2 linked regions of the Callithrix jacchus genome follow. The protein of the gene in region 2 binds, or shares a complex with, the protein of the main gene of each other region. Links are inferred from orthologs where the notes say so. Each region holds a gene or a part of one and is shown on either strand. Other genes may lie near its edges.

The links.
Region 1: the proteins of AMHR2 (region 2) and AMH are in contact, whole or in part, in a crystal structure (PDB 7L0J), measured with the Homo sapiens proteins. The link is inferred for Callithrix jacchus from reciprocal best matches to the Homo sapiens genes AMHR2 and AMH. Residues at the interface, in NP_065434.1 of Homo sapiens: Gly31, Val32, Arg33, Gly34, Ser35, Thr36, Thr38, Leu39, Phe62, Ile64, Glu75, Met76, Arg80, Asp81, Ser82, Glu84, Pro85, Ser95, Arg97, Ala98, Pro100, Ser101, Leu106, Thr108; in NP_000470.3 of Homo sapiens: Leu471, Arg472, Glu474, Val477, Leu478, Ile479, Pro480, Glu481, Thr482, Tyr483, Gln484, Lys534, Leu535, Ile537, Leu539, Glu542, Arg543, Ile544, Ser545, Ala546.

Annotation. Positions count from the first base shown.
Region 1 is NC_133523.1:2,130,511-2,134,412, reverse strand, and holds the start of AMH (muellerian-inhibiting factor), read right to left. Parts: upstream 2,299-3,902; 5' UTR 2,289-2,298; coding exon 1,880-2,288; intron 1,296-1,879; coding exon 894-1,295; intron 808-893; coding exon 1-807. Other genes in the region: SF3A2 (splicing factor 3A subunit 2), read right to left, coding at 3,094-3,891. UniProt on the Homo sapiens protein: Plays an important role in several reproductive functions. Induces Muellerian duct regression during male fetal sexual differentiation. Also plays a role in Leydig cell differentiation and function.
Region 2 is NC_133510.1:66,118,966-66,122,767, reverse strand, and holds part of AMHR2 (anti-Muellerian hormone type-2 receptor), read left to right. Parts: intron 1-1,331; coding exon 1,332-1,446; intron 1,447-1,584; coding exon 1,585-1,757; intron 1,758-1,962; coding exon 1,963-2,110; intron 2,111-2,277; coding exon 2,278-2,414; intron 2,415-3,602; coding exon 3,603-3,802. UniProt on the Homo sapiens protein: On ligand binding, forms a receptor complex consisting of two type II and two type I transmembrane serine/threonine kinases.

The sequences.
Region 1 (3,902 bases), on a different chromosome or scaffold from region 2:
CGCACGGCCCGTCGGCGGCGGTGGCCCCCGCGCTGCGCTGCGCCCGCCCCGGCCCGCGCGGATCCCAGCCGCGCCACTCCGCGCGCAGCCCCTGCAGCGCCTTCAGGAGCAGCAGCGCTCGCAGGGGTCCGCCGGGGCCGCCTGGGCAGAGCGCGAGAAGGCGCGCCAGCAGCGGGGCTGCGGCCGGAGGCAGACCCGGGAGGCCGCGCAGCTCGGCAGCCGCCGCCTGCAGCTCGGCAGTCACGCGGCGCACCAGGGCCGTGGCCCACGGCGCCGACGCGGGTTCCTGCAGGGGCGCGGGGTCCCCGGAGGCGGTGGCCGCGGCGGGCGGCAGCAGCAGCAGCAGCGGCTCCTCGCCGTCGAGCAGGCGCTCCAGCTCCGCGGGGTCCGACAGGTTGACCAGACCCTGCGGGAAGCCGGACAGCGCATCCGGGTCCAGGGCCAGGCGCGGCGTCGAGGCCCGGGCCGGGGAGCCCCGCAGCGCCCGCACCAGGCGCGTGAGCGTCTCCAGGAAGGGGTCTGCGCTGGGCGGCGACTCCTCGAGCTCCGCGGATGGCCTGGAACCCGCAGTGGGGAGAGTTGGGGGCGGGCGCGAGGCCACGCCGCCCCCGCCTGCTCCTGCCCCATGCCCCCGGGCCTGCGCGCCCCTGGGTGCAGGGAGGGGCACGGTGTCCAGCTGGCCGTGTGCGGGCAGCGGCGCGGGCTCGGACCGCGGCAGCAGGAGCAGGGCCGGGGTCATCCGCGTGAAGCAGCGGCGGTCGTCGCCGAATAGCAGCGCCTTCAGCCGGGCCGTACTCAGGGGGGCGCCTGCGGTGGGGGGGCCGGGGCTGGCTCAGAGGCTGGGGGCCGGGGGCAGCCGACCTAGCGCCCGGTCCCTCTCCACCCGGACCTACCCTCTCCTCGAGGCTGCAGGGTCAAGGCCAGCCCGGAGCCGCGCCAGGCTCCCGCGGGGCGGTCCACCGCCAGCACCAGGTAGTGGGTGTCTCGGGACGGGCAGAGGCTCTGCGGAGAGCAGGGCTCAGCCCGGCTGGGTGGAGGCTTACCCCTTCCTCCCATCGCCACTGGCTCTAAGTTGCTCTCAGCACCGCAGACCCGGCAACATATCCACACCCCTGCTGCGCTGCGGAACTGCCCCATGAAACTCCCTGGTACCTGGGAACCCAGCAGCCCAGCCCTCATCACAGTGACCTCGGGGCCAGGCCCAGGGTACAGCACCAGCAGCGCCAGCTCCGGGGGGCCAGCTCCTCCAGGCGGGGGCTCCTGGAACCTGAGCGAGGGTGTCGGCTCCCATGTCACTGCAGCCGGGACAGCAGGGAACACCTGAGCCATTGAAGGCCAGGAGCCTCCCACATCCCTCTGGGGGCCTTTGGGGTCCATCCCTGCCCTGGCTGCTGTGCAGGGGACCTCGAGGGGGCACGAGGGTGACTCTCTTCACTGGCTTCTTGCAGCCAGGGAGCGGTGACAACCGGGCGGGCAGGTGCCGAGTCTGAGGCTGTGGATGGGGCTGCCCCCCATGGTCTCTGGGTTGGGGCTCCCAATGAAGTCCTTTCCCCTTAGGGAGTCTCCCAGGGTAGTGGCCCTAAGAACAGGCTACCTGGGTATGGGGCTATGGGGAGGAAGGTCCCTGTGCTTCTTCTTCATGGGTGGCAAGATGGGCACACCTGTCTCTCTGGCACTGTGGCAGGCACAGGTCTGAGAACTGGGCTTCAGGGACAGGACAGAGTGGTGCCCACCTCCCAGGCCACAGATCCACAGCCCAGACCCAGGAGCAAGACCACAGCCTCCTGGTCCGGGGTGGGGGCTCTGCCAGCCCCCAATCTTCCCTAGGACCACCACCAGAAGGCTGGCGGTGCCAAGCTCAGGGCTGGGCCCCACGTACCTTCCTCCAGGTGCAGGACCACCAGGCGCTGCCCCCCAGGTCCCCGAAGCCAGGCCCCCAGCCGCTGCAGAGAGAGCAGGGCAGCCTGCCTGTCTCCGGGGCTGCAGACCCCAAATGTGGCCAGGTCTTGGGGGCCCCAGCGGGCCCGCTGCACGGCTCCCAGGAAGGCCTGCTCATAGCTTCTCAAAGTCCCCACCACCCGCAGGGGGGTGCCGCTGCCATTGCTGTCCCCACCCAGTGCCACTAGGCACAGAGGTTCTTGGGGGCTGCCTTGCGGCCAGTCCACCTCTTCAAAGATGAGGCCACCAGTGGCCACAGCTGGCTCCTCTGCTCCAAGGGTCTCAGTCCCTAGCAGAGCCCCCAGGGCAGACAGCACCAGGGCCAGGCGGGTGAGAGGCGTGCCCCCCATTGTGGGTGATGTGAGGGGCTGGGCTGCCCGCCTTAAGTGGGCCAAGCGGAAGGTGGGTGTTTGTGCAGGCGGACGGGCCCTTATCTCCTCTGCCGCGACCTTGGGGGACACTGCCGGGCGCCCACACTCCAGGCAAAGTGGCCTTCTCAAAGATGCCTTTGTCGCCGGCAGCCTATCTCCCTCCCCGGCAGTGATAGAACTGGGCCTAATGTGTCAACAGGCTGTCCTTGAGGGCCCGTCCCCAGAAGGCACAGGAGTGCAGCCAGACTACAGTGGTGGTGGTGGGGAACCAGATGTCCCGGGTGCTGGGCGTCGAGGAGGGTCCCAAGTCAGCAGGGGCTCCCTGTCCCCTGTTCACCCTCCCCACCCCTAGTGGGCTATCTGGAGACCCCAAGGGCAGGGGCTCCCTGTCCGGTTCACCCTCCCCACCCCTACTGGGCTATCTGGAGACCACAAGGGTATCCTGGAGGCTGCTCTTCCTTCCCCAGGACATGACCCCAGACATACTCCTAGCCGACTGGTGGGGTCTGTCCTCCACCAGGCCACCTCCAGGGCACAGCTGCCTCTCAGGCTCCCATGGGTGTCTCCTGGTGGGCCCCAAGCCCTCCCCAGTCGCCCAAACTTGGGATGGTGCCCTGCCTGGCACTCCCACACGGCATTCACACGGAGGGCGGCGCTGCAGAATCCGGGCACTCAGGGCTGGGGGAGGCGGTTTAATGAGTGGGGACAGTTACAAAGAGCAGCCTTCCCTCCCTGGGAAAGGCAGGAGCACCTGGGCCGGGCTTGCTGGGAAGGGAGCAGCTTCTCAGTTGGCTGGGGGAGGGGGAGGTATGTTCCCTGGGCCTTCAGAGGGGAGTGGGGGCCTCAGCATTGGGGGCATGGGAGTTGGGGGGTGTACCCCAGGATTTGAGGGGTGAACTCCAGGAGGCTGAGGGTGGACCCCAGGAGCTGATGGATGGACCCCGGGAGGTTGGGGGTGGACCCCTGGGGCCTGAGGGTGCATCCCTGGGGCTGGTGGGTGCACCCCCGGGGCTGGTGGGTGCACCCCCGGGGCCTGAGGGTGAACGGCCGGGGCTGCTGGGTGCACCCCTGGGGCCTGGGGGTGAACTGCTGCTGGGGGAGGGTGGACCCCCGGGGCTGGTGGGTGGACTCCGGGGGCTGGTGGGTGAACCCCGGGGGCAGGTGGGTGAACCCCGGGGGCTGGAGGGTGGACCACAGGGCCTGGGGGATGGACCCCAGAGGTTGGTGGGTGCACCACAGGGGCTGGGGGATGGACGCCAGGAGCTGGGGGATGGACCCCAGGAGCTGGGGGATGGACCCCAGATGTGGGGGGGTGCACCACTGGGGCCGGGGGGTGGACCCCTGGAGCTGGCGGGGGCAGTTGAGGTGGTCCTGGGGGCCCTGAGGGCGCAGGCCCTGTGGGGGGCATGGGTGGCAGAGGCAGGCCTCCTGGTGGGGGTGGTGGCAAAGACTCGGGCAGCGGTGGCCGAGGGGGCAGACCGTTCATCAGCGGGGGTGGAGGCCGCTTCACCCCAGGAGGCCCGGCAGGGAGGCTGGGCGGAGCCGGGGGCTTCTCCATCTTAAAGTGGAACTGGAGAAAGAACTAGAGACGAA
Region 2 (3,802 bases):
TGGGGTTTACTGCATTCTTTTTACTTTTTCTTTTTTTTTTTTTGAGATGGGAGTCTTGCTCTGTCACCCAGGCTGGAGTGCAGTGGTGCGATCTCAGCTCTCTGCAGTCTCCGTCTCCCAGGTTCAAGTGATTCTCCTGCTTCAGCTTCCCAAATAGTTGGGACTACAGGCAAGAGCCACCATGCCCAGCTAATTTTTGTATTTTTAGTAGACACCGGGTTTCACTATCTTGGCCAGGCTGTTCTTGAACTCCTGACCTCGTGATCTACCCACCTCAGCCTCCTGAAGTGCTGGGATTACAGATGTGAGCCACCATGCCCAGCCTTTGCATTCTTTATCTCTCTTTTTTTTTTTTTCTGAGACCGAGTCTCTCTTCACCTCCTGGGTTCGAGCAATTCTCCTGCCTCAGCCTCCTGAGCAGCTGGCATTACAGGTACCTGCCACTACTCCTGGCTATTTTTTTGTATTTTTATTTATTCATTTTGTTCCTTATTCTAATTTTTTGTATTTTTAATAGACACAGAGTTTCATCCTGTTGGCCAAGCTGGTCTCGAACTCCTGACCTCGTGATTCTCTTGCCTTGGCCTCCCAAAGTGCTAGGATTACAGGTGTGAGCCACCACGCCCAGCCTTGCTTTCTTTATCTCTTACCTTCCCTGAGCCATCTTGTGCCTGAAGACAGATCATGGCCACTGAAGGTGCTCTATAACACTTGTTGAATAAGGGATTCTATTGCTTCTTTCCCTCCAATTCCCATTTTCCCTCCACCTGCTACTCTGTTATCCACTGGCTCTGCCCATCCATGTGTACACAGGCCTGACACCTCAGACAAGGTGGTTCGTGAGGGATGCCCGAATAGCTTACCTTGCCTCCTCTGTTTCCGTCTTTGCTCCATGTCTTCTGAGTCAGTATAAGCTGCTGGTTATTAATAAGTGACCCTGAGTCAGAGTGTTTGGATTCAAGCTCCACTCCTGCCTCATCAACGGATTCAAGCATGTTTCCTTAGCTCTTTAAGGAAAAGCTCTTCATCTGTTAAACCAGGGTGTGATAGGAGCACCTACCTCCTAGGGTTGTCACAAGGATTACAGGAGGCCACGTACACTGGGCCTGGACTACAGTAAGTGCTCAGTACCCTTGACCCAGAGTTACTATTTTTTCATGTCAATCGATGCACAATCTTACTTCTTCTACCTACTGTCTTGGCCAGCATCTGTCAGTGTGTCTGTCTGCTGGGGAGATGCAGGGAGAAGACTGTCAATTGATCTTGCTCCCTGAAATGGATCAGCTGCCTCCAGCTTTGTGTACTGTCCTCTTCTCTCTGCTTTTCCCCAGGGCTCCCTGTGCCTCTACTTGACCCGACACACTAGTGACTGGGGAAGTTCCCTGCGGATGGCACTGTCCCTGGCCCAGGGCCTGGCATTTCTCCATGAGGAGCGCTGGCAGAATGGTGGGTGAGCTGGGAATAGGGAGTCAAGGGAGCCACACTGCTATGTTTCTGATTCTCTCTTAGTTTGGAGGGGAAGGATTGGGTCAAAAGAGAGACAAATAAGATCCATGTTCTTCCAACCTTGGAATTCCCCCACAGGCCAGTATAAACCAGGTATTGCCCACCGAGATCTGAGCAGCCAGAATGTGCTCATTCGGGAAGATGGATCCTGTGCCATTGGAGACCTGGGCCTTGCCATGGTGCTTCCTGGCCTCACTCAGCCCCCTGGCTGGACCCCTACTCAACCACAAGGCCCAGCTGCCATCATGGAAGTGAGTTCTCCGGATAACCGGTGAGGCCCAGGATGATGGTGGTGCTGCTGATGGCAGTGCTGCTGTTGTGTGTTAATAGTTGTAGCAATGCCTGCAGCATTTGAGACACTGCTGAGTCTGTGGTTGCGGGGATATTGCATGGACCATTGCTGCAATGAGGGTTGCCACAGAGATGATTCTTGGCCCTTTGTGCCTTGCTCTTCAGGCTGGCACCCAGAGATACATGGCACCAGAGCTCTTAGACAAGACTCTGGACCTACAGGATTGGGGCATGGCCCTCCGACGAGCTGATATTTACTCTTTGGCTCTGCTCCTGTGGGAGATCCTGAGCCGCTGCCCAGATTTGAGGCCTGGTAAGGATGGGTGGTACCATTCCCCTCCCTGGGTACTCCCTGCCCATTCTAGGTTCACCCCAACATGACCTGGTCCCAAGAAAGCTCTGCTCTTCCCCCTCTTGGCTTTTCTACATGGTAGGCACCCCTAGGGCTAACTGACACCCATCCCCTCTACCTTTCTCCAGACAGCAGACCACCACCCTTCCAATTGGCCTATGAGGCAGAATTGGGCAGTACCCCCACCTCCGATGAGCTATGGGCCTTGGCAGTTCAGGAGAGGAGGCGTCCCTACATCCCATCCACGTGGCGCTGCTTTGCCACAGTAAGAGGCCCAGGCTGTTGGGCTGGGGACCTGGGGAGTGGGGGCTGGGCATGGGCTTCAAGAATGTCTCTGCCAGGGCCAGTCTGTCTATTCATATCTCCTCTAATCTCCCATCACTCCTTGTTCAGGCTTAGCTGGAACTGGGCAAACTTGCTCTCTCCCTCAGTTCATCTTCTTCCACTCTAAGTCTCACACAGTCCGTTCCATCTACCTGAGACACACACCTTCCTCCTGCTCAGCCTTGCCTAGCCTGCTCTTCTCTCTACCATCAGTTAGCTCTGTTCCTTAGTCCCCTCCTCCAGGAAGCCCTCTTTGGCTTTGTTCTTGCTCTGAGCTCTGCCCTGTCCACTCTCCTGTCAATTCAACAAGTCCCCATTCTGTCATGCATTGATAATGTTTCTGCTGTGACCCAATAAAAGGCAGTTCTGGGTATAAAGGGTGAAAGCAGTGGCCTCACAGTGAAAATTCCAGACTTTGCATCAATACTTTTTTTTTTTTCTTTTGAGACAGAGTTTCACTCTTGTTACTCAGGCTGGAGTGCAATGGCGTGATCTCGGCTCACCACAACCTCCACCTCCTGGGTTCAGGCAATTCTCCTGCCTCAGCCTCCTGAGTAGCTGGGATTACAGGCACGCGCCACCATGCCCAGCTAATTTTTTGTATTTTTAGTAGAGACAGGATTTCACCATGTCGACCAGGATGGTCTCGATCTCTTGACCTCGTGATCCACCCGCCTCGGCCTCCCAAAGTGCTGGGATTATAGGCATGAGCCACCACGCCCGGCGCATCAATACTTTTTTAACAGAATGTCCCTTCTCTTGCTATCTGATCTGAACTTTCCACTGCACAAGTCAGGTAGGTTAGCTAACAGAAACCAGGCATTACTTGCAGAAGACTCTGGTTCTCTGAGCAGAAAGAGAGTAATTTCCCATTAGCATATTAAGCTGTCAATCTATATTAGCTCCTCAGAGGAAATGGTGGGCTGTATGGAAGGGCCCCAGAGAGCCTGTTTCATAGAGAACAAGACTCAGAGGCCTGGAGTTTAGCAAGAGGGAGAGGAGGGAGGCTCCAGGAAAATCGGAAATGGAGTGTTGAAAACAGGAGAGTGATGGACATTGAAGATGCCTTTTAACCCTGAGGCCCACTCAAGCTCCCTAGGATCAACCCTCCCCCTGTCATTCCTCCCAGGACCCTGATGGGCTGAGGGAGCTCCTAGAAGACTGTTGGGATGCAGACCCAGAAGCACGGCTGACAGCTGAGTGTGTACAGCAGCGTCTGGCTGCCCTGGCCCATCCTCAGGAGAGCCATCCCTTCCCAGAGGGCTGTCCACATGGCTGCCCATATCTCTGCCCAGAAGACTGTACTTCAACTCCTGCCCCTGCCATCCT